Linked DNA regions of Ovis aries. The protein of the gene in region 3 interacts with the protein of the main gene of each other region in a pairwise test. Links are inferred from orthologs where the notes say so. Each region holds a gene or a part of one and is shown on either strand. Other genes may lie near its edges.

Evidence for each region.
Region 1: the proteins of TOLLIP (region 3) and ODAM interact in a two-hybrid assay, tested with the Homo sapiens proteins (2 studies listed by BioGRID and IntAct). The two-hybrid records come from large-scale screens. The link is inferred for Ovis aries from reciprocal best matches to the Homo sapiens genes TOLLIP and ODAM.
Region 2: the proteins of TOLLIP (region 3) and TOM1L2 interact in binary tests that used the Homo sapiens proteins (3 or more experiments, as listed by UniProt). The link is inferred for Ovis aries from reciprocal best matches to the Homo sapiens genes TOLLIP and TOM1L2.
Region 4: the proteins of TOLLIP (region 3) and TOM1L1 interact in binary tests that used the Homo sapiens proteins (3 or more experiments, as listed by UniProt). The link is inferred for Ovis aries from reciprocal best matches to the Homo sapiens genes TOLLIP and TOM1L1.

Annotation. Positions count from the first base shown.
Region 1 is NC_056059.1:86,351,357-86,358,542, forward strand, and holds the end of ODAM (odontogenic ameloblast-associated protein), read left to right. Parts: intron 1-459; coding exon 460-507; intron 508-1,412; coding exon 1,413-1,484; intron 1,485-2,642; coding exon 2,643-2,801; intron 2,802-3,036; coding exon 3,037-3,066; 3' UTR 3,067-3,095; intron 3,096-4,270; 3' UTR 4,271-4,555; downstream 4,556-7,186. UniProt on the Homo sapiens protein: Tooth-associated epithelia protein that probably plays a role in odontogenesis, the complex process that results in the initiation and generation of the tooth. May be incorporated in the enamel matrix at the end of mineralization process.
Region 2 is NC_056064.1:34,301,548-34,309,807, reverse strand, and holds the start of TOM1L2 (TOM1-like protein 2), read right to left. Parts: upstream 4,640-8,260; 5' UTR 4,560-4,639; coding exon 4,508-4,559; intron 1-4,507. UniProt on the Homo sapiens protein: Acts as a MYO6/Myosin VI adapter protein that targets myosin VI to endocytic structures. May also play a role in recruiting clathrin to endosomes. May regulate growth factor-induced mitogenic signaling.
Region 3 is NC_056074.1:46,571,814-46,578,770, reverse strand, and holds part of TOLLIP (toll-interacting protein), read right to left. Parts: intron 5,256-6,957; coding exon 5,073-5,255; intron 4,454-5,072; coding exon 4,301-4,453; intron 3,760-4,300; coding exon 3,669-3,759; intron 1,864-3,668; coding exon 1,652-1,863; 3' UTR 1-1,651. UniProt on the Homo sapiens protein: Component of the signaling pathway of IL-1 and Toll-like receptors. Inhibits cell activation by microbial products. Recruits IRAK1 to the IL-1 receptor complex. Inhibits IRAK1 phosphorylation and kinase activity.
Region 4 is NC_056064.1:4,927,552-4,935,060, reverse strand, and holds part of TOM1L1 (TOM1-like protein 1), read right to left. Parts: intron 4,318-7,509; coding exon 4,266-4,317; intron 2,633-4,265; coding exon 2,527-2,632; intron 1,903-2,526; coding exon 1,821-1,902; exon of another isoform or gene 1-1,820. UniProt on the Homo sapiens protein: Probable adapter protein involved in signaling pathways. Interacts with the SH2 and SH3 domains of various signaling proteins when it is phosphorylated. May promote FYN activation, possibly by disrupting intramolecular SH3-dependent interactions.

The DNA.
Region 1 (7,186 bases), on a different chromosome or scaffold from region 3:
TACCACTGAGTCATATGGAAAGCAATGAGATACAATTAGGTAATGCAATATTGAGTTTTGTGGACCTTTAATAAAATAGTAAAATTTTAATATAAATTTAGATAGCTCATACATATCTAGGTTACTTTTAGTTAGAATGCAAATTAGATTTTTAATTTATCATCACTTAAAACTTATCAAATCAATTACAAAAAACTGAAAATTATGCTTCAAATGACTGGTAGTAGTACTTCCAATTAAGTCATACTAATTTAAAGAGAAAGGGAGAGTTTTAACCTAGAAATCATATGCTGTTAAAAGGATGGTTGGTAATTTAACAATTATTTTTACTACCTAGAACATATAAATTTTCAAAAAAGTATTAGTACAGTATAATATACATATATTTTAATCATTTATCACTGCATTATGACAAAAATCATAAGAGTGATCTAACACATTTTTTAAAAATTCTAACAGATGCCATTCTATACTGAATTTGGATATATTCCACAAGAAGTAGAACCTGTAAGTAAATGTATTTTTCATTAAAAAAAGAAAAACTAGCTTTGAAACTACTTGCTAAACAAACTATTAAATCTACCAGTGATCTTTAGTCAAAAACCCACCAGGAACACACCTCTAGTTGGACAAAATTGGATTTATCCACTTACTGCAACAAGGGAGGTCACACACCATAGGGAACTGTGGAGTGTGTTAACAGGAAGGATTGGAATGACATCTCACAGGGTCTGGTCTTGTGTCAATGATCTGGGGGAGAGTTCAAATAGTCACGTTACTTTTGATTTGGAGTTCTCAAGAACTGGGCTTCCCTGGTAGCTCAGATGGTAAAGAATCTCAAGAACTGGGGGTAGTTCTATGACTGGGTAACAACAATTCTTTCTTTTTAAGTAAGAATGATGGAGGGAAGCAAAGACCATGATCGGTGATATATGGCAAAACCAATACAATATTGTAAAGGAATTAACCTCCAATTAAATTAAATAAATTTATATTTTAAAAAAAAGAAATTCTTCAGATTATCCAGGACCTAAGGATGCCTGATATTTTCATGCCTTGCACAGGGACCTTGCTGTGGGCAAGATTACCAAGTACTGTTTCTTTGATTGCACTTCATCGTGTTCAGAGGTGACCTTGCCTGGTATTCTGTAGGATTGTTAAGGTACAACAGGAGAACATTAGCATCCAGCAGAGAATGTCAGGCCAGCTCCTGCAAACACTGCAGCAGAGCTATTGCGTTAGGCCAGTTTCTCAGTGTCAGGAGTTGCTTTTCTCTTTCTCAAAACCAAATTATGATTTTTGTTTTTAACAAACTAATTGAAGAAGGTGACAAGGGTATAACCGCCTTAGGTGCAAGATAAATGTTTTATGGATTATTAATTTATACCATTTTAAACTTTGCAACTTTTAAGGTTATGCCAGGAGGACAGCAGCAACCAGCCTTTGATCCCTTCCTAGGCACAGCTCCTGAAATGGCTGCAATGGTAAGTTTCCTTACCACACTTTGATAGTTACTGGAAATCAGCAACTGACAGACTATAGCTCCTTGCACTATTGTGCATTTTAATGAAACTGTTATTATTATTCCATCAACAATTATTACTCGTTCACCCTGTAATCTTTTGCCACACAAGATTCAATTCACTCAGTTCATCAACTATTTACTGAGGAGCTAATACATGCCAGATATTCTCCATCAGTTCAGTTCAGTTCAGTCGCTCGGTTGTGTCCGACTCTTTGGGGGCAAGAGGAGAAGGGGATGACAGAGGATGAGATGGCTGGATGGCATTACTGGCTCGATGGACGTGGGTTTGAGTGAACTCCGCAAGTTGGTGATGGAGAGGGAGGCCTGGCATGCTGCAAATCATGGTGTTGCAAAGAGTGGGACACGCCTGAGCGACTGAACTGAACTGAGGCCTCCCTGTCCATCACCAAATCCTGGAGTTCACTCAAACTCACGTCCACCAAGTCGGTGATGCCATCCAGCCATCTCATCCTCTGCCATCCCCTTCTCCTCCTGACCGCAATCCCTCCCAGCATCAGAATCTTTTCCAATGAGTCAACTCTTCACATGAGGTGGCCAAAGTACTGGAGTTTCAGTTTTAGCATCATTCCTTCCAAAGAACACCCCGGACTGATCTCCTTTAGAATGGACTGGTTGGATCTCCTTGCAGTCCAAGGGACTCTCAAGAGTCTTCTCCAACACCACAGTTCAAAAGCATCAATTCTTTGGCACTCAGCTTTCTTCACAGTCCAACTCTCACATCCATACACGACTACTGGAAAAACCATAGCCTTGACTAGATGGACGTTTGTTGGCAAAGTAATGTCTCTGCTTTTGAATATGCTATCTAGGTTGGTCATAACTTTCCTTCCAAGGAGTATGTGTCTTTTAATTTAATGGCTGCAATCACCATCTGCAGTGATTTTGGAGCCCAGGTACACTCATTTAAAGTCAGGTATTAAAAGACATCTGTGTTTGCTGGCATATATACATACTCTTTCTAAAGGATAGATTTTAGTCTAGAAAACTAATAAGGCATTTACTTCTCAAATAAAATCCTTGCTTTACTACTTTATATTCTTCCCAATTTTGACCTTGTGTTTGAACTTGTAATCACTTTTCTTTCTCACCCTCATAGCCAGCAGAAGTGTCACCATACTTACAAAAAGAAATGATAAATTTTCAGCGCACCAATGCAAGAATTTTCACTCCTTCAACTTCACAAAAACCCAGCACAACATTTTTTTTTACTTCTGCTGTGGACCCAATTATTACCACAGAGCTAATGGAAAAGAAGGTAAAGTAATCAAAGATTCTTTTTATGAAAGAAATGGGTCTCTAAATAGAAAGTATAAAAATAAAGTTCATGCTTGATTTATAGGACTTAGTTATGAAAATCATGACAAAGTTAATATATAGTAGAATATATGGTCTTAACCTTGAATAAAAAGACCAATAATTTCTTACAGATAATCAGAATCTAATGTAATTTTTATTTAATAAAAGCTTTTTATGTATGTTTTTCTCACTAGGCCAAGACTGATAGCCTGAAGGAACCATAAGATGTTGTCCTAATCATTTAGAGTTTAGGGTAGGTATTTGCCAAGAGGCGTGCCTTATGTTCCATGACATATCCTAAATTAAAAGAAAAAAATTGTAAGAATAACTAAAGGCATATACCAAAATGAAAAAAAAAAAAAAACAAGTTAGTGCTTACATATTCCTACAAAGCTAACAATAATTATGAGCAATTTTATTAGCAAATTTTTTAGTCAAAATAAATTTTTGAGGATAGTGTCTGTCTATGCCATAAACTTTTCATAAACTCTGAGAACACAAATAGCAAATATACTAGGTCCATGTTACAGACAGACAGTAAATGCAAAGTGCTATGCTATGTTTAGCTGCTCAGCCATGTTCAGCACTTTGCAACCCCATGGCCTGTAGGCCACCAGGCTCCCCTGTCCATGGGGCTTCTCCAGGCAAGAATACTGGAGCAGCTTGCCTTGCCCTCCTGCAGGGGATCTTCCCAACCCAGGGATCATACCTGGGTCTCCTACACTGCAAACAGATTCCTTACCATCTGAGCCACCAGTGAAGCTCATATGCAAAGTCAGTTCCCCCAAATCACTACTTCACTTTGCAAGCTAAAAGTAATGCTAATACATCTGTGTTAGTTTGGAATGAAAAAAAGTCTCAAAGTAATTTTTTTTAAGTGCATATTCACATGGAAATTTAAAATTCCATGATTTTTATATTAACTATTACTTTAATTGATTACCTGTCCTAATGAGTTTCACTGGCTATGAGGCTAGTGGGTGTTTGATAGAAGGGCAGGGTGGGATGGGTCTAACATGTAAAAAATACACACTAAAAAGCAAATAATTTGGCCTGAATTGGAAAAGTAAAAGGCAAAGATTTTTAAAATCTGTCCCCTGCTTCCTCTGAGTCTTTTCTGATTTCTCCTATGAAAATGAATACTTAGCATTTCTTAGATTCAAAAAAGTTAATAAAAATACAACCAGAAGTGAATAGTGTGAGCACCTCTTTAGAAAATTCTCTTCTATAATGTGGCTTTGTGTGCAATGCAAGATAATTCAAGCTTTTTAATCAGAAATACTAAAGGGATTTCAGTATAGTGTGACCTTCTGAACCAATGCAAGAAAATGTAGTTTTATTTCTTTTTAAGCAATTTAGAAAACATCTCAGGAATTTTATAGAAAGCAGTCTAATGATTTTAAAATGCTCTTTTATTTTATTTTTCAGAAAAAAAGATGTTGCAGCACCCTGAGTATCATTTTATTTCCTCAATATTAATATTGATTCTTTGAAAACTATGAAATACTTTTGGCTCTTCTCCTGAATTTCTTTTTACTTATAAATAGCATTATACTCTTTAAATATCATAGAAAAGTAATACAATCATTTAATAAGCTTAGATTTACAAAATTACATTTCTTTCTAAATATCTTATCATTTCATGATCTGGAAAGTAACAACACTAAGAATAGAGTATCACTGGATTAATTGTATAAGTGTATTAATAAAGGAAGGCTCTGGAAAATGGTGGCATTGATGAGAATAAATATATCCAGTCATTGGATTTACAAGTGTGGTGACTGACACTGATGAACAAAAGTATGTTCCTAGCTTTGACATATCATCACATTATTCCTCCCAGGTCCATTCAACTAGATTCCTTCTGATGCAATCCCTATTAGAATCAAAATTATTTGGTGGCAGATCCCATTAAGTGCACATTCCCAATATGACACAGATACATGGAGAGATGGCTGCCATCACCAAAAGGATAGGTCCCCAGGAAGATGTATACTGGTTTGGTGAAGCAACATATTATACAAAATAAGGCATAGATTTTGGATTTCTTCAGATGTGGCTTTCAATCTGACTTTGAACCTTCAGTAAGGCACTTAACCTGAGTCTCAATTTTCTCAGGTGTAAAACAGAGGTAACAATATCTACCTTTTCAAAATTTCCAAAAGGACCACATGAAATAACACATGTAAGATACCTGGCTATGGCTGTCCCTTGAACAACACGAGTTTAAACTGAAATGAAGTGAAAGTCGCTCAGTCGTGTTCAACTCTGCAATCGCATGGACTGGAGCCCACCAGGCGCCTCTGTCCAAGTGATTTCCAAGGCAAGAATACTGGAGTGGGTTGCTATGCCTTTCTCTAGGGAATCTTCCTGACTCAGGGATCAAACATGGGTCTCCTGCATTGCAGACAAATTCTTTACTGTCTGAGCCACCAGTGAAGCCCCTTAAATGGAGGGGGTACCGTTATATGCAGATTTTTCAATAAATACCTAAAACCATACTATATGATCCAAGGTTGGTTGAATCTTTTGATGTGAAACCACGTATATGGTGTTGTTTAGTCGCTAGGTCTTGTCCAACTCTTTGCAGTCTCATGGACTGTAACCTACCAGTCTCCTCTGTCCATGGAATTTTCCAGGCAAGAATACTGAAGTGAGTTGCCATTTCCTCTCGCAGATCTTCCCAACCCAGGGATCAAACCCACATCTCCTGAGTCTCCTGCACTGCTGGTACATTCTTTATCACTGAGCCACCTGAGAAGCACCTGGCAATATTAGAAAAGTAAAAGTGAAATTTAGTCACTCAATCCTGTCCGACTCTTTGAGACCCTATGGACTGTAGCCTGCCAGGCTCCTCTGTCCACAGAATTATCTGGCAAGAATACTGAAGTAGGTTGCCATGCCTTCCTCCAAGGGATCTTCCCAACCCAAGGATCAAACCTGGGTCACATGCATTGCAAGCATATTCTTTACCATCTAAGCCACCAAGGGAAGCCAATATTAGGTATTACAATAATAAATGCTTTGAAAATTACACAAGTTATACAAATACAATATTAACATACAAAAGCATTAAATAAGTTCTACATAAATAAAATAATATAATGATAAACATTGCAATTTCCTTCAAGGATAATTTTTTATAAAAAATATTCAACTAAACATGCCAAATTTATTTCTTATTCTACACAATATTAAAAGGGTCTTATTAGTTTGGATATCAAAATCCAATTTAGTGACTCAGCTTAAAAAATAAATTTCCAAATCTCTGACTGGAGATCCAATTTGTTTCAGGTGGATGTCTTGGCAAAGTATTGCTGAGCAACAACTATGTTTGAAAACAAGAATACTATAGTCAGTTCAGGTCAGTTCAGTCCAGTCGCTCAGTCATATCCAACTCTTTGCAACCCTATGAATCGCAGCACACCAGGCCTCCCTGTCCATCACCAACTCCCGGAGTTCCTTCAGACCCACATCCATCGAGTCAATGATGCCATCCAGCCATCTCATCCTCTGTCGTCCCCTTCTCCTCCTGCCCCCAATCCCTCCCAGTATCACAGTCATTTCCAATGAGTCAACTTTTCACATGAAGTGGCCAAAGTACTGGAGTTTCAGCTTTAGCATCATTCCTTCCAAAGAAATCCCAGGGCTGATCTCCTTCAGAATGGACCAGTTGGATCTCCTTGCAGTTCAAGGGACTCTAAAGAGTCTTCTCCAACACCAAGGTTCAAAAGCATAAATTCTTCAGCAATTAGCTTTCTTCACAGTCCAACTCTCACATCCATACATGACCACTGGAAAAATCATAGCCTTGACTAGACGGACCTTACCAATTAAATATTCTATATACATCAAATTGCATTACAGAAGAGCTTTAAATTGTCATTTTTGTTAACAGGTTAAGAATACAAGAGTCTACAGTTAATGGAAATATTATTTGGATACATGCAAAGAACTACATTTTATATGTCTGTTTAACCCTGTGTTCCTAATCTCCCCATCCAAGGCCAGTGAAAGAAAGGCAAAGCAGAAAGAGCAATTTAATTTTGAACAGATTTGACCAGGAAAACTTTACGTAGAATATTCTAAATCAGAGTTGCTTACATTTGGTAATTCACACTTTAGCCTCAAAACTTTAACTACCAACCTTCTTCACTGGGTGATTCCTATCTAAGTGTATTATAACAGCATTAGTTCAAGACTGACATATAGAACTTTTGTGTGCTCTCACTTTAAATACTATATACACAAGCAAACTATCATCATTGTTTAGTCATATTTTTAAATATATAGTCTGATGAGTTTGATTCACATATACACATACACATAAATACACATATAAAT
Region 2 (8,260 bases), on a different chromosome or scaffold from region 3:
AGCAGGGCAGCGACCTGGCCAAATCCTGGGAGCCTCTCAGCTCGGGTCTGAGTGTCCAAGCATGGAAAGCAGGGGGGCGTGAGCAGGCTGGTTACCCTTACAACCATCCCAGCAGTTAAGGATGGGTGCTCTCAGAACCCCAGACTTCCACCCGTGCTCTGCCCACCCACCTCAGCAGGTACCCTCTTATCTCTCTGGGGGCTCCCTGGAAGGGCCCTACCCCAGACCTCGGGGAACTAGCACTGCGTGCGCTGACTCCCTCGTCAGACCCCTGCTCTGCACAGTGGAGGCTTTCACATTAAGACAGAGGTGGCCTTTCGGCAGCTGCCAAGGGAACCCTCCCTGCCTCTGTAATGACAGCCCGGCCACTACCCTCCACAGAAATCATCCATGGCTCCTCAGTGCCGCCAACAGAAGGGTCTAAACCACGCGGCCGACACTGGAAGCCTCGTCAATCAGGCCGGACACTGTCTGCCTGGCCTCTCCCTGCTCTCCCAGCTGGTCTTACCCCCACCCCTCCACAACCAGCCTTTGCTCAGAGCGCCCTCCAAGCCTCCTTCTCCTCTCCAATAGGAGCCAAATCCCACCCCCTGAGTGCCAGTTCCTCCAGCCCCTGGGATGCCCCTTCTCACCACCGCCATCCCCCAGGACAGCAGCTGCAGAGTCAGGTCGCGTCTGCAAAGCAGAGAGAGTAGCACACTCCCTGCAGTGTTGTAAGAACGAAAGCAGCACGAGACCCAGAGCGCACCCACTGTGGCCTCTGGCACACGGTAAGCCGGCCCCATCTCTAAAACAGCAAAACCGCTAACCATTACTACTACTGCTGTGGAGGATCCCTCCTGTCCTCCATTTCCTTCGTTTCTCTCTCCAATCTGCTGCCAACACTTGCCGTCTTATCTGATTTAGGTCCCTGTCTCAGCTCCTTTACTAGACCAAACATCCTAGCAAGTGTTTAGCGTGGTGCATACTGAGAGGTGACAGAACCACCAAATGCATGAATGATTCTAAATAATCAACCCTATAGTCTGTCCACAAGAAAACTCACATTTACTGTTTGAAGCAAGATTAAGAAGCAATTACAGGAGCAGAACTTTTCGTCAAAAGCAACAGTTCTCAAAGTGTGGTCTCCGGACCCAGAGTGTCAGCATCCTCAGACCTTGACAGCCCACCCCAACGGACCCTGCCACCAGCTTCGACCAGCTCTCCAGGGATTCTGATGACCCTGACTCGTGGGGTCCGCAGGGCAAGAAGCAACATGGCAGCCCAGAACGAAGCCCAGATCAGGACAGGATTCTCCGCCGGACTCTGGCCTTGACCTGGCAGGAGTCTCTTAACCTCCAGGAGCTCCAGTTTCTTAGAAGCGATACAGGGATGATCATCACACTCAGGATTCAGGGAGATCCCATGTGCAGTTCACACCAAGTAGGTGCTTAAAAACTGTAAGTTCCTTCCCGTTCTCATCCTATCTCACAGGGTTGGGAAGACTAAATAAAACCCTGAAGCCGCCCCCTCGCACTGGTAACTAACTCCTCTCAGAACAAACACTTTGGCTCGTCAAGCTCACAGCCATCTCAGGAGACGGGGAGGCTCCCGCAGCAGTCAAGACCCCACACCACCCAGGCCCCGGACACTGATCCTGCAGCGAGTGGGAGGGAGCTGGTCCTCCAACACTCGGGTCAGGATTAACTAACTCCTCACTGATCTCATCTAAATGAATCCAAACTTTACTCCTGGAAAAGGATGATCTGAAAACATTTTTCAGTCAACACAGGAGAGCTGTGAACCTGCTGAGCACCCTGGACCTGGCTTGTGGTTCCCGGACACAACAACTGTTAACACAGGACCCCCTAAAACCCATTTCAGAAGAGAGCATCAGGCAGCACTCAGTCTTTCTGGGTACTCCTCAGCCATTTACACCATGGCGCATCCGGGCTCAAAGCCATGGCCTCTACTCGGGAACCACCTCCCAGGACAACGGGCAGCACGGAGACCAGGAAGCCCCGGAAACCACGTCAGATGTCAGCTGGGGCATGGCTGCCAGCTCTCCGTGTGTCTGACCCAACAGTGCCCAGGAAGCATGCGGCAGGCCAGCCCCAAGGCAGCGCAAACGGCCAATCCACCCACCCCCAGACAGTGAGCCCAAGGCTCTGCGGCTCAGGACACCTGGGGGGGTGCCTTACTGCTACAGAGGGCCCCTCGGAGCAGTGTTTTGACATCTCTATCCTGGGGCCTGGCACCCAGCACCCTGTCAACATGCCTGCTGAATTAGACGGATGGGGTGAGTTAGTTACAAGCCCCACAGCTGTTGAGGGAGGAAAACGAGGTCCAGAGAGACCGAGAGTTGAGCTCAATAATTAATGTGGCCTTGATGTCACCCACCCAGGACAGGGCTCCATCCTGGGCCCAAACCCAACTTGCCCCTGTCCCCCGTAGCCACCCCTGCTCCGCTTGGACAGGGGACCACAGAGGGGGGCCACACTGCCACTCGCCTCCTCCACCCGTCCCCGGCACAGGGGTCTCTTCTCTGCGAGTGCGGTTCCTTCCCCTTCCTCACCATCGGCCCAGGCCCCGCACTCCACAGTGTGCCAGCCTCCTGACAGCTCTCCCGTCCCCACGGGGCGACTCGGCACTGGCTATGGGGGCCTTCCATTGGTCACCACTGTCCCCCAAGTCTCTGTTCCTGGTGGTGACCCCATCAACCCTTTGAGCGCTGGGACAGCTCTGTAGGCTGTCCTTTCACCCCACTAAGCCTCAGTTTCCTCATCTTAAGGTGAGAAGGATAATAAAACTCACCATGCAGAACAGCCTCAGGAGAAAGTCACGGTGGTCAAATTGCTTCGTGTGGGGTAAACCTGCTGCTCCTACTAGCCAGCTTTGTTGCTGGGGCTTCACTCCTGCGTCTCCCTCCCTTCTACCAACCCCTGGCACATATACCTCTCAAGAACATGAACAGCACTAAACGTCATGAGGGTCACTTTTACACTTTGTCCCAACAGCACAGAACACATGTCAGAACCTATTCTGACCTCTAATCGCTTATCTGAACTGAGCTGCGAAATTCTCAAGGCCTCACCTGCAGGCTCACTGGCTGGCAATGAAGGGGCCCCATTCTCTTCATGGTCAAGCGTCCTAAGGGACGGTGGACTTGGGGCCTGGTCACAGATGGGCCTGTGGTCCCCCATCTCCTCTCCAAAGTGGAACTGAGCCAATCTCCCCACCCCAACCAGAGCACAAACTAAAAAGCTCAGGAGGGCTGCACCATTTTTCAGGGCCCCACAGCTGAAATGGGAAAAGCGACATTCACCCCAGGTCCTCCTGAGAGAAGTGTCATGCTCTTTTCATTGCTACCCACCCATACATCCCTTCTGTTTGTATATTTTAAAATAAATCTCCTTTTAACTTATACCCCTCATCAGCTACCTTGGTGTTTCAAAGGTAGTAACAGAGCCTCCTATTATAAAGGAGACAGAAAAGGGAAAAAAAATCCCCCCAAGTTTACTGGCTCCCTCCCACAACTGCCTGGAATTCAATACCAGAAATGAGTTTCTGGAATACGGATGCCGTGAAAGAGCACCTGAGGAAGAAGAAAGGGAGGTGGGAAACTCCAGAAAGGCAGGAAAAGACCCTCCAGGGCCTAGTGTCCATCACCCCTTATCAGAGACCCTATACCAGGGAGCAAAGGCAGGCTCCCAGGTGCCAGTCAGCCAACGGGAGAGGCGTCAATAATTTCACAGGCCCACTAAAGGCTGAAAAGTAAGCTGGAAATTTACAAAGCAGGAAATAGGCAAATCACTCCAGCCTAATCCCGCCAGGCCCATAAGGACGCCAAAGGTCCCTGCTCATAGAAGGCGTTTTACCAGTCCTTCCACCAACAAGGAGGAACCCAGTTTTAAAAGAAACCAATCCACATTCTTGACGGATCACGCCTGGCGTGAGCTCCCGCCTTGGGTGAAAAGGCACGTTGCTCATCAGTCAGGAAATTCCACGGGGCGGGTCTCTGGTGGTCCTTCACCTCCACCTCGGGCTTCCTCACCGGGATGCTGGTCATCCCGGTGCCCGGAGCCCCCAGAGGGTTTGCACTGCCGAGTAACGCCCTCTCCACCTGTCCCCAGAAGGCCGGCGTTGGCAGACTTGAGGACGCTGGGAAGTGACAGCCACCAGGCAGACAGTGGCTCCAGGGACATGAGGACCGCCTCTGACAGACGGAACTTCAGACCTGACAGGGCAGCGACTCGCACAAGGTCACGGGGAGAGTCGGCAGCAAGGCTCCCCGGTCCGGGCTCCGGTCGTCAGCCGGCACGGCCGTCCTCCCCACCCCCCCGCCAGCCTTCCCAGGGCGCGCCGGCCTCCCCGCTCCCCGCCGCGGAGAGTGGCTCAGCCCGCCGGGCCCGGGGCAGGGAGCCCGCTGGGACCGCGGCGGCCGGGTTGGGGCACGGGGCTGGGCCCCGCCGCGCAGCAACGCGCGGAGCACCGCCCAGCCCTCGGGACGCCGCGGTGGGGGCCTTACCGAGGCACTGCCCCACCGGCGTGCTGAACGGGTTCCCCAGGAGGAACTCCATCTTGGGCGGACGGCTCGGCAGCAGCCCGCGCGCGTCAGCCGCCGAGTCTCCGCGTCCCCTGACGTGCTCCCGGCCTGACTGACACTTGCCCCCACCCCACCCTCTGGAACGCCGGTGCCCGCCGCTGGCCCCGCCCCACCTGTCCCTATTGGGTGAGAACTGCCTTGCCCTCTTCCCATTGGTAACCACACCACCCTACGCGAGGTCCCGCCCACCCCGCGGCGTCCGATTGGGCGGGGTGGCTAGCTAAGTCATAGGAATTTCCGTCACCTCCCCTGGCCCGCCTCCCGACGAGAGACTGTGTATTTTGATTCGTTTATGTACTGGTCAATCGAGTGAATCCTTACTGTTACTGGACAAAAATCAAATCATTCACTCAAAAAGAGGGCAGGGGAGGGCGGGGCTAGTAAGTTCCCCGCCCAGGGAGAGTGCTGATTGGACAAGCATTTGTTTTCTCTAAGGCTGGTTGGTGCTGGGTGACATTCCCCGCCCAGAAATATGATCACGTGGCCGTCAACTTTCACCCAGGATGTCTACTCCCTGACTTCCCCCTAGCAACGGAGTGCGGCGCTTGGTTCTCCTAGCAACCCAGCTCAGCTACCAGGAACAGGTGGCAGACTGTGCCAGAGAAGCTGAGAGCCCAGAGCCGAGAGGCTGCTGAAGGACTTGACCTTTTCACGAAGGAGCCTGCTGGCCGCCCCACGCCGGTCAGGGCCTTCAGGCCTCGTGGGGAGAGAAGCTCGGGAAGGGTTTCCTATGGGCGCAGGCCCCAACGAGACCTTTAAGGTCCCACCCCCGGCCTCCGGGCCAGAGAGAGGTACCCGGCCCACTGATCCCTCTTCAGGAGGACATCACTGACCATCTGCCCGACCTCTCAACTGCTGCTACCTTGTTCCTCTTCCTTAGAGCTACCCTTAGTGAAGGGTTTTGGCCTGGAACGTGGATGCCCTGTCAGCAGGTCCCTTCCCGGGCTTCAGTTTCCCCGTCTGGACAGTCAGGGCAATAGGGCTCCCTTGTCTGCTGGCTCCCAGACCAGACCTGTAATTTGATCATGAACGTTACTCCAGAGCATGGTGAGCATTCAGAAGAGGGTGGTTTTCTCTTATCAATTCACGGCCAATAGGGGCTCCATTTTTCAGGTCCAGGTGATGCCAAGTCCTTGTTTCGCTGGATGATTCAGGATCTGGTTCTCTGTGAGGAGGTGTAAGGCTCTTGGCTGTTCTCCCCGCCCGCAACAACACTACTGTCAGGCAAGTCAACAGCAGCCCCAGCTGGGTGGGGAAGTACTGATAAACCCCCCGGGGGAGGACTGTCCTGGTTTTGGGCCAAACCTGGAACAGTTAGGAGAAACAGTGTGAACTGTGACAATGACCCACAGCATGCGGGTGCAGTTGAGTCTGATTAAGAGCCTGAGCTCTGCATGCCTGACCTGCCTCTGCATGCACGGGATGTGTCTCTCAGCATAGGTGTCACTTGACTTGCTTAACCAGCTTCCATTTTCTTACCTGAAAACTGCAGAGTCAGTCCCTCACATAAACTACGTTTCTAGAGGTCTCTCAAACCCACTTCTTACCTGCACCCCAATCACCTCTCGACTCTTGACATTCTCAGTGCAACAAGCCAGAATGAGCTTCTTCAAATTAAACTCTGATCACGTCACGTCCTCATCATGCCTTGGAGCTTCCTAGGGATCCTGGGATGATCACAACACCCCTGGAGGCCTTGCCACTCTGGGCATCCCGGTGGAACCTGCCTCCTCCTCTCCCAGCTCAGGACCCTCACCCCAAAGACCCCTCCTCCTTCTCTCCAGGTCTCAGCCCAGGTCCCCACAAGTATGTTGTCATAGTTCCCTACACCCACAGACTTGTCACCATTTATAATTAAAGGTTTGTATGATCATCCGAGTTGGGTCTGAAACAGGGGTAAGGAGGTCTATGAATCACAATACTCCTAAACCCACTAACCAAGTCTTATCCACGCATGTAGTAGCTATTCATTGCACATTTGTGGGCTAAATAAAATGATCTTAAACAAATATTGGAGGAAGGAGTTATCTGTCTTTTACAGATAGGCGGTCGAAGACTTGGAAAGCAAAGTCAGTTGCCCAAGGGTGCGAATCCAACTCTGGTGTGTGTAACAAACACAGATGTTCCACACTGCCTGATGACTGTTGGGCCTGTCTGGAAGCAGGCTCGACCCGGCTCAGGGACCAGGCCCTTGTGTGACAGGAGTGATGAGAAGTCAGCCAAAGTTTTGAAATCAGAGTATGAATCATTTCTCAAAGCACAGCACTTGTCTGTAAAGGAAAAAAAGGGTTGGGGGAAAAGCACCAACACTTTCAAGTAGCATCTGCCAAATATGGCACATTAAAATTTCCCCAGAGAGAAGCTGGTGTCGAGTTATGGGAAATTTTAGAAAAATTGTCTCCAAAGAATGGGGAGATAGAGAGAGGTAGAGGACTAGAAATGTCTTTCAGGGGTTGAGTCAATCAGCTGAAGGACATGAGAGAATGTGGAGGGACCCAGGAAGAGGGGAGACTCAGAGAAGTGGGTGCAGGAAGAAGGAAGCTGTGCCTGCTCTGGGGCCACTGGGATGCACAACTGCACCAGCTGCATGGCTGGGTAGGGTAGAGGCACCCAGGCAGGGGGTCTCTGAGACCAGGTGCAGGATTGCCAGGCCCACCCCACTTTGCCCAACAACAGGAGTCTCCCCAGCAGCGCTCGCTGGAATAAAAAGGCAATTGCGGGGCTGCATCATCGGACCAGTGGGGCAGGGAGGCCGGGTGTGGGCACGCAAGGGCCAAGGTAGGAGGTGAAGCCAGCAGGCAGGTGAGAACAGAGTGGAGAGTAGGGGGAAGACTGACCGTCCAGAGCATTCCGAGGCAGAATCAGGGCGTTTCCAGTAGCATGTGCCCTCCCATGGGGTCCAGCCCTTCTGGGTGTGCTAGGACGGCTGGTAATGATGGACTGTGGTCAAACTGCCCAGGACCGTGGCTCTGTCCAACCAAGAACAGCAGTGTAGGTTCGTCTGTGACCCACTCCGCTGTGCCTCAGCCAAATCCCTTTGGACCAGTAGCAACAGATACCTCCTGGGTTAGTTTAGGGAAACGAGGATTTAACTTGTGAAGTCAGTGCCCTGTCTAGGGGCCTGGGGTCAGAGGTCCAGGGGCCTGAGGTTGGAGCAGGAGGGGCCAGGAAGCCAGCAAGGGGAAGGCAGCCTCTGTCTGTCCTTTTGTCTTTTTTCCTGGATCAAGTTCCCATCTTGCTTCTGTCTGTCCATCTTCCACAGGTCCTGTTACTCTCTCACTCACCATGTCCCTGACCAGCCCTTAGCTCCCAGTGCCTTCCAAGCCAAGTAGCCAGCACTGACGGGTGCTTTGTCCTGAGGCCGCAGTTCACATCTCTCTGGGGAGGGTCACAAACAGCCAGCTTGAGTCCGTGTGTACCAGTGGCTACACCCTGGGCACCTGTGGTTGGGGGTGCTTACAGATATGGCCACCTTCAGAGGGTGAGGCTCTCAGGGAAGGGGGGCCAGGCCTGGCGGGCCTGGCAGGCCTGGCTGGGACCACCAAGGACTGTGATCAGTGGTTGGTGCCGAGAAACCCAACAAGGGTGGGCACAGAAAGCCAGAGGCCCAAGATGGCGATCGATGGCTTTGCAGGCAGCTGAGCTCCAGAGGCTAAAGGGACCAGTATGGATATC
Region 3 (6,957 bases):
GAAGGCTGAAAGGTACAAACATATCTTACAATCAAAGAGGAATCTGGACCCTGGACCCCAACAGAATGATCTGAAACGCAAAGCTCCAAGGACCATTTCTGCAAACACCCAGCAGGGCTCCTGAAACGGGAGTGGGGTGGGGAGCCTGCTGTACACGCCTCTCCTCTCCGACACCAAGCAACAACCACCTGTGAGGCACCCCAGTCCTGGGCCCGGCAGCCACAGGCGCCGTGCTTAGTGCCCCCCGAGGGGCGGCCTGGACACGAGCACGGACGTGAGCAGAGCAGCAGGGACAGCAGGGCCACCGGACATCTCGAGGCCCTACTGATGCGCCCTCCTCTGACCCAGTGCAGCAGCAGGCGTCCGCGACAAAGGACCCCGAGCTGGCAGGTCTCAGCCACCCTGAAGCCAAGTCTCCTGTCCTCGGAGGCCCAGGCAGGGGGAGGCGGCGGCGGGGAGGCAGCGTGGGGCCGCCCGGGCTGGGGTCAGCCATCAGAGTTGCGCTGTGTGGTCACCGTGCTGCAGCCAGCGTGCGGCTGTTTAGCCGCTGGTCTCACGCATCTACCGAGCGCCTGCGGCAAAGGCACCGGTGGTCTGAACCCCCCTCGCAAGCCTCCCTGCCACCGGGCCGCCACGGGAGGGGTCTGGTTGGCTTGACCGCTGGCCAGCTTCACGCTAAGCCTACGTCAGGGACAGGACTGGGGTCTGTCTGAGTCCTCACCGCCTCGGGGTGGGGTCTGTCTCCATGTCCAGAGGCCGGGCAAGGCCTCCAGGCAGAGCGGCAACCGTGGCTGGCCGCACCGTGTTCTCATTTCCATGGGGCTCCACCCAGCTGGCCCCATCCTCAGTGTCCACGGCCAGAGGCGGCAGGGTGCCGCCCACACCGCAGGTTGCCTCTTGCCTCTCGGGAAGACCTCCCAGTGCCGGCGGTCACCACGCTGACCCAGCCTGCGGCCCAGCTTCCTACACAAGGTCGGCGGTGAGCTGAGAGTTCAGAGGCCTCTGACAGACGGGGACGAGGGCTGGGTCTGCTCCCGACACCCACCTCAGCGAGCTCTACAGTCAGCGCGCGTCTGGGGGCGGCGACCCCTCGGGACAACACGGCATGGAGGGCGAGGCAGCAGGAAAGACTACGGGGCCGCGGGCTCAGGACGTGGCTGCAGACGCCAGGCTGGGCCCCGAGGCAAGGTCCACCCGACCCCAGCGAGGCGCCCAGGGAGACCGCCACGGGGAGGAGCGGAGCTTCTTGTCCTGAAGCCCTAACACGACCCACAGCAGCTGTTAGTGTGTCTACCCAGGCAGGCGGCATCATGAGAGACCACCTGTCAACCCAGAAGGGGCCCAGCACCGAGGCCCTGCGGGGGAGCTGCTCCCAGGAGAGGCTCCCGGGAGGACGGCCAGCAGGAAGTGGGCGTGTGCACGGGACGCGCCGCCTCCACCCTTCAGGAAGCGAGAGGAGAGCCACCCCCCCCCGCCCCGACCACGTGGAGAACGGCTCCAAGAACCAAAACCACATGCATCCCAACGAGGGCGAGGACGGCAACACGGACGTCCAAGGAAGGGGCTACGCGGGGCATGTTCACGGGGATCTGCTGGGGACAGTGCTCGGGAGAGCTGGGCGGGCGGGCAGGCGGCGAGACGGCGGGCATGTCTAGGACTCCTCGCCCATCTGGAGCAGGGAGTTGATGGCTGCGTCCCTGCTGCCCCGCTGGGCCTCCAGCACGGAGCGGATCACCTCCCGGTCCATGTTGGGGAACATGTCCTGGATGGCCTTCAGGTCCTCCTCACGGCAGCGGGGCTGGGCGCTCACGGCTGGGGGCAGCGCCACAGGCACCACGCCGGGGCTGCACACGGCGGGCATCCCTGCAAGCAGAGGCAAGCTCAGTGGGCAGCCCCTCTGCTGCGGAGCCCAGGTCTCACCTGAGGTCTCCCCCACAACACGACCCCAGAGATCTCCCCCCACCTCCAACATGACCCCAGAGGTCTCCCCTCACCCCAACATGACCCCAGAGATCTCCCCCTCACCCCATGACCCCAGAGGTCTCCCCCCACCCCCGACATGACCCCAGAGGTCTCCCCCTCACCCCAACACTGCCCCAGAGATCTCCCCCTACCCCCGACATGACCCCAGAGGTCTCCCCCCACCCCCGACATGACCCAGAGGTCTCCCCCTCACCCCAACATCACCCCAGAGATCTCGGCCCCGGACACTGCCTCTCAGATAGGCCAGACGCTCAGGAAAAATGGGGGTGAGCAGACCTCAGCCATTTACACCACGGGGGTCAAGCCCTCGCACCACGGCCACCCCCAGCTGCCACCCCCCCAACCCCGAGCACCGAGACTCCCCCGCCGGCCCCTCTGCCGGCCCTCCAGGACAGGCCTTCCCAGCTGGGCACCCAGTCCCAGTCAGACCCCGTCGAGGAAGGAGACCCCACCGGGCCCAGCGTCCTGAGGACGGCAGACCCCCCCCTGCTCCACACGGGCAGCACGTGGGGCTCCGGTGTCAGCTCGCCACACCAGCCGCACCCCTTCACTCCCATGTGGACGCTGAGAAGCTCAAGGCATCTCAGCTGCTGGAAGACTCAGACCTGGAGCCACCAGAACCCAAGTCAAAGCTCCGACTGTCTTGTGAGGAAAACAGACCAGCAAAAGGAAAGACAGAGCTGCTGAGGTCCCGCGGCTTCAGAGACAGCCCTGGCCAGACAGCGCTCTGAAGGGCGGAAGCGGCTGCAAAACTACCTGTCTTTAGAAACTCAAAAGCACAGTCCCCCAACCAGGCCCAACAGCTCACATGGTCTCCTTTCCTGTCTGAGCTCAGAAGACCTTAAAGGCAGCTCAAAACCTTCCAAACCAAAACCAGCAGAAGAGCCGACAAGCGCTGAGGTACAGGGGTGCCGGCCGCAGGGGTGGGACCAAGCCTGCGATGGACACGGCTGCCTGCGGGGCCGGACGCGCACCCGAGGCAGCCGCAGGGCCCAGCCCCTCCCTCCCGCTGCCCCCCGGCCCCTCCCTCCCGCTCCAGCCCTCACTCTTCCCCGCACTCTGCTCAAGAGCTCAGAGGTTTCTCAGGGACACGGCCACCACCGTGCGCACAGCACCCTCGCATCCTCTCCCGTCTCCCAGGCTCTGAGCCTCCCACGCTTGCGTCCCACCCCGTCCTACAGACGTTCACAGGCAGGGGGACTGAGTCACTTCCAGTCAGAGCCTGGGTGGGAACTGACCACAGGCTGACGTGAAGGCACAGAAATCCACGAGAAAAGCCACACCCTACTCGACTCCGCTGCGCGTGAACCGCCGGCTCACAAAGGTGAACACTGCGAGAGGTCGAGAGCCGCGCACGGGGAATGGACGCGACAGACGCAGGCAGGCTCGGGCGTGCAGTCCGTCCATCCACCCGAAAGGACATGACCTTGTGCTACAGCGACTCAGAAACCATGCTTCCCCATCTCCATACACTTAACTCAACTTTTCTGCACTGACAGAAAAAAAAACAATCCTACCCCCTAAGCGTGCAGGAGAAGCCAACACAGGACAGCGGACCCCCGGTTTGGGCAGGCTCTCCAGGCACCGCCTGCAGACCAGGCCCAGCCTCTAGCTTGACACCCCACGCACCTCCCTCCTGCTCTGAGGCCACCCCAGGAGACGCGCCGCGAGGAGGGGAGACGCACCTGTGATGGGCACATAGCCCACACCCTGCTGGTACACGGTGGGCATCAGGACCACGGGTTGAGGCGGCATCATCATGGCAGCCGGCAGCGACTGAAACACACCAAAGATGACCCCAGGGTCACAGCAGAACACCCCCCCCGCCGCCTCACCAAAAGCTGGGGTGGGGGGCAGCACCAGGCCTGGGGCCCCACAGTCGAGGCTAGGACGCGCCCTGTCCCCAACCTCAGACGCCCGTTCACACCGCCTCCCCACAGGCCCCTCTGCGGGCAGAGGACGACGCGGGTGGAAGGCGCCTGTCGTCAGAGCCGCAGGACACGACTGAGAGCCCATCGGGAGAGGACGCTGCTCCAGGCTGCGAGCCGGAGCGCACGCTTCAGGCTCGAACCCCTGCCGTCCCAGACAGCCTCTCTCTGGCTGCAGTTAGTTAGACACAGCAGCAGCGTCCCATCCACATGGAAGCGTCTGCTGAACAGGTAGGATGCACCCAGCAGAAACGTGCTGATGTGGGAACCCGCAGTGACTGATCCAGTGCCAGGAAGGGGTGAGCAGGTACCAGCGCGGCGGCCCCGAGGCTGGGGGTCCGCCGGCCCGCCCCCGCGCGGGGAGCACCGGGCAGGCGCGGCGGCCTCACCGTGTACGACAGCACCAGGTTGATCATCCCCTCCTTGTCGTCGCCCTGCCGCCCGCTCAGGCTGTACCACTCGTCCACGACCTTGCCCTGCTTCAGCGCCTCGGGGATCGTCACGTGCGTCCAGGCGATGCGGTCATCCATGGAGAAGGCCCGCTGGGGGAGACGGGAGACGGCATGTGAGCCCAGAGCCCCCAGGGCCCTCCCCCCGCAGGGTGTGCACAGCATGGAGCCCCCGCCTCGCTCCCCTCCTGCGGGCCCACACGGAGGGAGGGGCTCCAATGAGCCACCAGCGCCGCCTGCACCAACCCGCGGGGCCGGGCCCCCGGACACGCGCTCCCCTGAACCACGCCTTCCCCTCCCGCTCCACCCCAACCCCTGAGGACCGCAGCCTCTCCCAGCCCTGCCGCCCACCCCACTCTGAGCCAGCCTCAGAAGGGCTGGGGCACGTGGAGGGCCAGGCTGAGAAGGGCCTGGGGCTCCCGACACCCCGGGGACACTCAGGAGGCTCCTGCCATTCCCCCACAAAGAGGCCAGTGCCCACCCTGCCAGGGCCTGACCGTGTCAGCCCTGAGCCACGTGCGGACAGCAGTGCCTGGCCTGACTGGTCGGGCGACGCCCACGCTCCGGACATGGCGGTGACGTGTCTGAGTGTAGGTTCCAGAGACTCTGGGGGCACAGAGCGCCTGTCACACCACAGCACCCCCCCTGCACACACGCCCGACGTTCTGGAGCAGCCGGGAGCCTGAGCCGCAGCGGCCCGCGTGGTGCCCACCTCGTCGAAGATCTCCAGGTAGAAGGTGTCCACGCCCGGGGGCACGGTGCACTGGATGACCTTGTTCCAGCGCGGGTTCTTGGCGCCGTTGTGGGCCGTGGGCGTCTCGTACACGGCGTAGCCCAGGCGCAGGCGGCAATAGGGGTCCATGCGGGTCATGCCGTAGTTCTTCGCCAGCTTGGCCTGAAACAAAGCCGCCGCGTGAGACGGGGCCGCAGCCGTGAGCCTGGGAGCCTCCCCGCCACCCACGGCTTCCAGGGCGCTCTGGGTGCTGACCCACTGGACACGGCCACCACTGTGCTGTCGGCCCTCCACAACCACAGGTCCAAAGTGAAAGAGAAAGGCGCTGGACCAGGAAAGAACATTCCAGAAACTTCCAAAAGCAAAACCTGAATCTGCCACACCAGCAACTGGGTTTACAGCCTTGTACCGTATAACAACCGAGCTCACGCGGCGTGTTCGGCATGCTAGGTGTCATGAGTAACCCAGGGATGGCTCTGAGCACATGGGATCTGTGCAGGCCACGTGCAGACCTGCACTGTTTCAGGTAGCGGCCTTGAGCGTCCTCAGACTGTGCTGTCTGTGGGGTCCCAGAGCCCGTTCCGAGGACAACTGTGCTTCGGGGCCCAGGAACCAGGAGGTGGTCTGGGCTGGGCCCAGCGTCTCAGGACACACCCACTGCTGGGCGGGGCTGGGTCCCCCCGACTCCTGGGGAGGAGGGTGGAGAGGGCAGGCCGTCCTGGGACAGAGTCTGAGCCCCGGAGAAGCAGGGGTCAGGGGCCCCCTGAGAAGCGAGGCCTGGCCAAGGCCTTCTCTGCATCCTCAGACAGTGACCGTGCCGGCCCCCTGACCGGGCAGGACTCTCTCAGCAGTGACTGACCCTGCCCAGTGCCCGGGGGGCCAGGAATCCGCTCCGAGGGGCCTGATCCCCTGGAGCCCACGCCTCACGGTGACCAGGGCTAGCGCCCTGGTTCCTGCTGAGCAACGGACAGACTCCAGGAAGCACCTGGGGCCTGAGGGCAGGCCCGTGACAGCCAGAGGGAAGGGAACTTTCCGTGGTGCTGGAGAAACGCTCTTATCACAGGGGTGGACACACGTGTCGAGAGGTCACAGAAACAAAAGCACGTTAATTCAAACCAGTGCGTCCTGACACGTATGTCACACTCAACAGGCCGATTCTTTTTAAAAGCCCCTAGAGCCTGCTGCCTGTGAGACGCCATCTCTTCCCGACAAAGGCTCTGTGGAAGCCCCGCCCATTGGGAGCCTCCTTGCACCCCTCTCGGGCTGACACCCCCTGAGCTCTGGCACGCCTGCCCGCGATCATGCCCCAGAGCCGCCCCTCCACGTAGGACCAGCTGGCCCACCTCCAGACACACACCTCCTGTCACCGCAGGACCTCCCCCTGAAGTCATCTCTGAGCCTCAGGCACATCCTCTCAAGCACCCTCGACTGAACGCGTCCGACACTGAAGTGTGGCTCTCCTCCCCACCTGCTCCTGCAGTCTCCCCTTTCTGGCCACTGCCCACCGCCCCTGGTGCCGGCGACAGGCCGCGGGGTCACACACCCTCCTCCCGCCCCAACTTGAGGGCTCTCGAACTGGGCTGGATGCCCCCAGGAGGCCAAATTCGGGGCCTTCCAGCCTTGCCCACGATCTTCCTGACACAGAGCCCGAGGGAGCCCTGGACCCAGCTCGGGATGAGCTGTCCGCTTCCCACTTACTTGCCCCACGCTGCTCGCTGCCCCTCATCCCCCGCCCTTGCCCCCAGCCCATGGGTGGGGACTCCAGTTCAACCCACGCTCTCCACAGTAGCCTCCGGCCGCCCACTGCTGCCCCCGACCCTCGGCGCCCGCGCTCGGCCCCACGGGCTCTGAGAGCCACACCCAC
Region 4 (7,509 bases), on a different chromosome or scaffold from region 3:
TCTTCAGCCCTTAAGTCATGTCTGACCCTTTGTCACCCCATGGACTGCAGCATGCCAGGCTTCCCTGTCCTCTGTATCTTCCAGTTTGCTCAAGTTCATATCCATTGAGTTGGTGATGCTATGTAACCATCTCATCTTCTCCTGCCTTCTTCTCCTCCAGTCCTCAATCTTTCCCAGCATCAGGGTCTTTTCCAGTGAGTCGGCTCTTTGTATCAGGTGGCTAAAGTTTTGGAGCTTCAGCTTCAGCAACAGTCCTTTCAATGAATATTCAGGGTTGGTTTCCTTTAGAATTGACTGGTTTGATCTTGCAGTCCAAAGGACTCTCAAAAGTCTTCTCCAGCACCACAATCTGAAAGTGTCATGAGCTTTCAAAGTGGTAGGGAGTTCCAGAACTTCACCTCTCCAGCTTCTTGCTATTTCTTACCTTTAATATCTCCTATACCACCACATCTACTTACAACTATCTCATAATTAACTAGATTATAATCTGCTTCCTATTTGCTTGGAGAAACTGATTAAAAAAACATGCGTTCTTGAGACAACATACCTAGTTTAACCAGTTTCTAATTCCTTAAAGCACTAACATATTCAGTGATACTTTATCAAGCGGAATGAAAGTTTCACAATCCTGTTAGGACAAAATATTTAATGAACTCCTAAGCTTATCGTAATAAGCCTGGGACTGCATAGTGGCTGCCTGTTTAAGATGAGACAGGTTCTGCAGGCCTGCTTTACTCACTTACAAATCATTCCAAAACATCACTACACTGAGGGTGTGAACCAGGGGGTCAGGGTCAAAAACACAAATGCCTACACATGTCAGGCAGATCAGCTGAAGGTATGTGGGGGCCTGGTGAACTGAGACAGCGCAGCCCCAAACTATTGCTAGCATGTAAAAATGCAGGCTTGGCATTGTTGTCGTATCAGAAAGCATCCAGAGGTTCAGAAAGTTAGTGAAATATCCCATCTTTTAACTTGGCAATTAATTTTTATGTGCATATTTAAAATTCACATAGGTCAAACAAAGCACAGTTGCAGGCAAGATACAGCCTGTAGGCTGCTAGTTTCTAAACAGTCATTTCTATGAAAATGCTTTAATCATTTTAAACAAGTTTGGAGGTAACTTTCAGTTAGTCAAAATATATTAAAACTAATGAGCCTGTGTGTGCATGCTCAGTTGTATCTGACTCTGTGACTCCACGGACTAGCTCGCCAGGCACCTCTGTCCATGGAATTCTCCAGGCAAGAATACTGGACTGCGTTGCTATTTCCTACTCCACTAATGAGGCTACCATCCCATAAATATTTATATGCACTTGACCAATATGAAATCACAAAATAATACTGCTTTAAGGATTCCAAGTTAAAAAGTAATTTTTACATTAATAAGCACACAGTTGTCATAGGTAGTGAAGATTAAAAACAAGTTCTTATGTAAGTTTTTTTCTGGCATTAGTCAAAGAACAACTAAAATACCCCATCAACGTGGTACTTAAGAGTCATCAATCAGTGAATAGTGCCTGTCTCGAGCTGGAGAGAATCTGACTTTCTTCCAAGGCATCTATAAGGAATACACTAATGCACATGATGGTTCTGCTTATTTCTTAGTGTGCAACCCCAGTGTTTTTAAGTCACAAGGTCAAGCATGACAAGACCAACATTAAGAGCAACAACCACCACAAAATCTCATAAATCACTTTTATATAAGGTCATTGATTTCTGCTAAGGCCTGAACAAAGTTAAATGTATAACCAAACCCTGTGAGCTCTGCTACCAAAGGGAACCAAGACAAAAAAATAATCATTTTGTAAATGACTTACTCTGTGGTGACAGCAGGAGCTAAGGGATCAAACTCCATTACTTCACAGTAATTGGGTGGCTGGAGATCGTTCTTTGTCATCGCTGTAGGCAACAAGAAGAAACACATTGTGGTTTTTGAGGAGATACACACAGTTAATACTCTCTCTGACTTTGACTTCAAACAGAAGATCCTAATGAACACTTGACAACCAGAAACAAGCACACTGGTGTCCCAGCGCTACTGCCCAGTACAAGTCTACAGGCGCCCAGACTCAGACTAAAGGTTATTCACCTCAGCACTCAGAATACAGGACTCAGTGCAACACAAGCACCTCCACAGTCTCCTCATGTCAGTCACGGGGCTTCCCGTGTGGCTCAGCAGTCAAGAACCCCCTTGCCAATGCAGGAGATGTGCCTGGATCGGAAAGATCCCCTGGAGAAGGGCACGGCAACCCACTCCAATGTTCTTGCCTGGGAAATCCCCCGGACAGAGGAACCCAAGGGGCTGCAGTCCACAGGGCTGCAGAGTCGGGCATGACTTAGTGACAATAGCAACAGTCAGTCATAATGAAATCTGCCTTAAATTTACCTCATGTAGCTGAAAATGCAAATGCACTCTAATTTCTTCTCTCTGCGTATCTGTTTTTAGTCACCAATAAATCTCTAGCAGACCCATCTATTCTCATAAGTTTCTTTATTTGGTGCAGATAATAAGGTCTTAAGTACCTGGATGATTGCTAGGCAGAGGTGGCAGTCTCTGGTTTGATGGTGTTGCTGGAACGGTCTGTAGGCTAACTGGCTGCAGTAATACTGCATTTGAATGTTCCAGAAACTGAAGAGAGCAGAGCACACATTCAAATAAACATTCTAAGCTTTCATGATTTTGATTCCTAGCCTTCCAAGTGGCACTATCCCAAGAATCATATATTCTCAATCAGATAAGAATTACTAATCGTTAACTATTATTTTAGTTTTTAAGGTAATATCCCCTTATAAAACCTACTGCTGTTCTGTCTGGTTTCATGCTCCCTGTACCTTAATTCCCATATAAAATGTAAACTTAAATAAAATATATTGCTTAAAAAAAAAAAAAGCCAGAAATGTATGGCTCAGTCCAGAGTCTCCTGTCCCACACTGAATATAAAACCTTGGCCTCAAAGAGGCAAAACCATTAAGTACAAAAAAGCGTATCCGTCAGACCTGGTCAAGAGAATGCCTCACCACTGGGGACATGGAGCAGGGCCCTGTGGGCCCTGTGATTATCTGAGGGAACACGGGTCATATGCTCTGAAGCAGGCAGAGCCAGTGCAGCTGAAGCAGCGCAAGCCAAGGGAGGGGCTGGACATACAGCTGGAGAGGCAACGGGAGAGGTCAGAGCGGCTTCTCAGGCTTTGATAAGTGGAGTCAGAAAACCACAGGTGGCTTCAGAGTAAATGAGTAACATAAACTTTATTTTAAAAAAAGATTTGTTCTGGTTTCTGTTTGGAGAACAGATTGTATGATGGGGTGGGGGTGGAGAGGGAGGTGGAGGCTGGAACAGCAGCCCTGCGGGAGGCCACTGCAGTACCCATCTGATGTAGCTTGCGCTGGGATGTAAAAGGGAGGTGGGAAAAGGTGGCGGGATAACATATATTTTGAAGGCAAAGGTAAAATGGTAAAGGTCAAGCACAGTTTCCCAAGGTTTTTGACCTGAACAACAGAAACAGTGGTCATTTACAGAATGGGGAAGCCGGCCGAAGGAGCACATCGGGAGCTGAGGCTGAAAGAAAGCAAGGGGAGATGTGAAGTGACAGGTGGAAATGGGAGTTCTGCACGTGGGGAAGGGGTATGGACTGGAAACAACTTGTAAGTGCTCAGAGTCTGAGTGGTACTTCTTGATACGAGACCAAAAGACCAGAGAGGAAATAATGTGGGCAGAGAAATCTGAGGCCTGCCTCCCAGGGTCTCCAACACTGAGAGGCCGGTAGAGAAGAGGTCAGCAAAGGGATGCAGAAGAGAGCAGCAGGAGAGCCTGAAGGGAGTGGTGTCTCAAAGCACGTGGGCAGACGGGAGGAGGTGGCTGGCCTCAGCTGCTGCTGATCAGGTAGGATGAGCGCTGAGCACGGCAGGACTAGTCAGTCATCGGGAGGTCTCCAGTGACCTTGACAAGAGCTCAGCCCGCGAGGCGGCTGAGATGAGAACTTGTCTGACTGAAGTCTGTCAGAGGATGGGAGGAAAGAGAGCAAAGATAGCAACTAGAAACAGTTCCAAGGGAATTCTGTTCCTTTACTATCTTTCTGATGGAAGTGAGACTATACTTATCTTAAATGATTAAAAAGGCAACAAGGAAAAGCCCTAACAAGGGCTTCATTAACACCTTATGAAGAAATTTTGAGCAGAACTTGAGAATTAAGGATTGGGAGCTCCATTTTAGCATGATAATCTGCTCCCTGGGGGCACTGCCCGGGAAGGCCTTCATTACTTACACTCTCGTATGTATGACTTGAGGCGAGGTTTTGGCTGGTCCTTTGGGCAAACCTAGGATAGTGTGATAATACAGCATGATTACCCTACAGTGAGAACACAGTGCAAAAAGACGACCTTCCTGGTCTAAAAGCAATACCCCAGATGCACCTGCAGACTTCACGGAAGTATTACTTCTATAGCACAACTGCCAGTGGTGGTGGTGCCCACCGGGCCATAATGCCCAAACGCCAAAGAGAATGCAGACAAAGCCCTGGGGCTGGGCGGCGGCAGCCCGAGACCCCGGAGCGCACTCTGTCGGTCACAGCGGCGCCTTCCGTCTCCGCTCAGAGCAGCTGCCACCCCATCACTTCTACAGGATGAAAGGCAAGGCAGAGTAGAGGTTAGGATGGGGCACAGTTTGTAGTTGGAGTAAACACATTTGCCCTGTCTCTTTCACCAAATGCAACTATAAAATCTGGACAGAAGGCATGGGGCAAATATCTGAGACCTGCAAGGTAAATATTAATTACAAGCTAATTGGGAAAGAAGACTAGAATTGGAATATCAATGAATTGTTGGTGAACTTACCATGTTCTGCCCCTCTGGGTATTTCCGAACTGGCATGCAGTACAGCCTAAAGCCCAACTGGACAGGGAGGACACACAGCTCCAGGAGGACGCTCATTCTCACTCAAGGAGCAGGAAAGGGAAACCCTAGTGCCCAGAGTGTGCAGGGCAAGCCTTGGCCCTTTCTTCCTCTTCGTTCTCGCACTCTAATCCCCAGGCAATCCCCAGGTGGCCTCAGTGACAGCAGAGGCAACGGGGACCGAGAGTGGCTTAAACCTCTGAGAGGCAACTCCCACTCTAAGAGGGGAACCGTGATCATCCCAAGAGGATGAGGCAAAACCTTGTTTGTTTTATCCTTTCTATCCTGCCGTCTGGTCCCCATGACAAGCATAGTCAAGGAAATGCATGACACAGTAAACCTGCAGCTTTTTGACTGGAGAGACCAAAAAGGGAATCCCAGGAAGGCAAAGAATCAGGGAAATCACAAAGACAGAGGAATTCAGGACAATGACCTCCAAGGTGTTTATGAACTCCTGGGCTTACACCCTGATCTATGCATCCATGGCTGATCCCAATCAATGCCAAGTGAAAGTGAAAGTGAAAGTGAAGTCACTCAGTCGTGTCCCACTCTGCGACCCCATGGACTGTAGCCTACCAGGCTCCCCCATCCATGGGGCCTTCCAGGCAAGAATACTGGAGTGGGTTAAAGATGTTGAGAAATGAACACACAGCCTGCTGTCCAGATCTTACAGTGACAGATGGGTGGCACACGTTTGGGATGCATCTCAGTAACACTCAACGGCTTTGAAAATTTAACTGACATCAGAACGAAAGCACACAGAAGGCAGGCTGAAACTGCAGCATAAACTTCACTAGGCTGTCTGCCTGCTAAAATCAAAGTACCAACATTCAACACAGGATTTAGATAAGACTAAGATGGTGACTGCAGCCATGAAATTAAAAGACGCTTACTCCTTGGAAGAAAAGTTATGACAAACCTAGACAGCATATTGAAAAGCAGAGATGTTACTTTGCCGACTAAGGTCCGTCTAGTCAAGACTATGGTTTTTCCAGTGGTCACGTATGGATGTGAGAGTTGGACTGTGAAGAAAGCTGAGCGCCGAAGAATTGATGCTTTTGAACTGTGGTGTTGGAGAAGACTCTTGAGAGTCCCTTGGACTGCAAGGAGATCCAACCAGTCCATCCTGAAGGAGATCAGCCCTGGGTATTCTTTGGAAAGAATGATGCTAAAGCTGAAACTCCAGTACTTTGGCCACCTCATGTGAAGAGCTGACTCATTGGAAGAGACTGATGCTGGGAGGGATTGGGGGCAGGAGGAGAAGGGGACAACCGAGGATGAGATGGCTGGATGGCATCACCAACTCGATGGACGTGAGTTTGAGTGAACTCGGAGTTGGTGATGGACAGGGAGGCCTGGCGTGCTGTGATTCATGGGGTCACAAAGAGTCGGACACAACTGAGCGACTGAACTGAACGGAACTGAACTGAGATGATGATTGAATGGGCACTAAATCCAAGAATATATGACCCTAAAACAGGAAAATGGGGATCTGGGGAAGGACTTGAGAAACACAGGGGAGAAGGCAAAGTGAAGATGGAGAAAGACAGCAAAGTGTGTGGCCACAAGACACGGAAGTAAAGGGGTGTCTACGCTCCCCAGAATGTGGAGGACGGAAGAATGACTCCTCCCCTCAGAGTCCTGGGAGGAGGCGCCTTGCTTCCTTTCAGACCTCTAGTCCCCAGAACTCTAAGAAGGTGAGTTCCATTACCCAGCTTGCGGTAATGTTTTTATGACAACCACAGGAAACAAATACACTCAGCAAAACAAAGACAGCCACACTTAGACATATCATAATCAGACTGTTTAAAATTAGAAAAAAGAAAAGTTCTTCAAAGCACAGACAGAAAGAAGTAACACGGAGTCAACACAGGAACAAGAATTGGAATGAATGTTAATTTCTCATTAGAAGCCATTTAGGCCAGAAGACACTGGAGCAATGTTTAAAAACTGCTAGAAGAAAAGAACCATCAGCCCAGAATCTTATATCCAATTAGAGTATCCTTCAGGAACAAAAATGAAAATGAAGTACATAAAATATACTAAGAAACTTTCACTGCCATCAGATCGTCTCTAAAATAATGCTAAAGGAAATTCTTCAGAGACAAGAGAAACTGTGCCAGAGGAAAACGAAAGGAAAGCAACAGGAACGGTAAATATTAGGTAAATGTGATGGACTATTCTGCTCTTCCTGAGTCTTTAAAATTTATTTAAGGCCTGCAAGTAAAACTGTATTATGAAAAAATTGTAAAATAATTTTTCATTGTCTGGTAATGTTTTTTTAACATATATATATAATATAGATAACTATCATATAAAGGGAAGAGCTATATGATAATAAAGTTTCTATATCTCACTTCAAGTGGGAAAATACTGTTTTTAAATACACTAAAAAAACTGCAGTTCCTAGAGCAACCAGTCCTCCCCTGCCCATACATAAACTGTATAAAAATATAATAATGAAATGGATATTAAAAACATCCAAAGAGCCCCAAGTATGAAGGAAAGAGGAAACAGATAAAACAAAACACAACCAAAAAAAACAGCAAAGGAAACAAAGAGAAAAGCAAATCACGCAATGGTGGTCCTAATCCAGACATATTAAATATAAACGGTCTA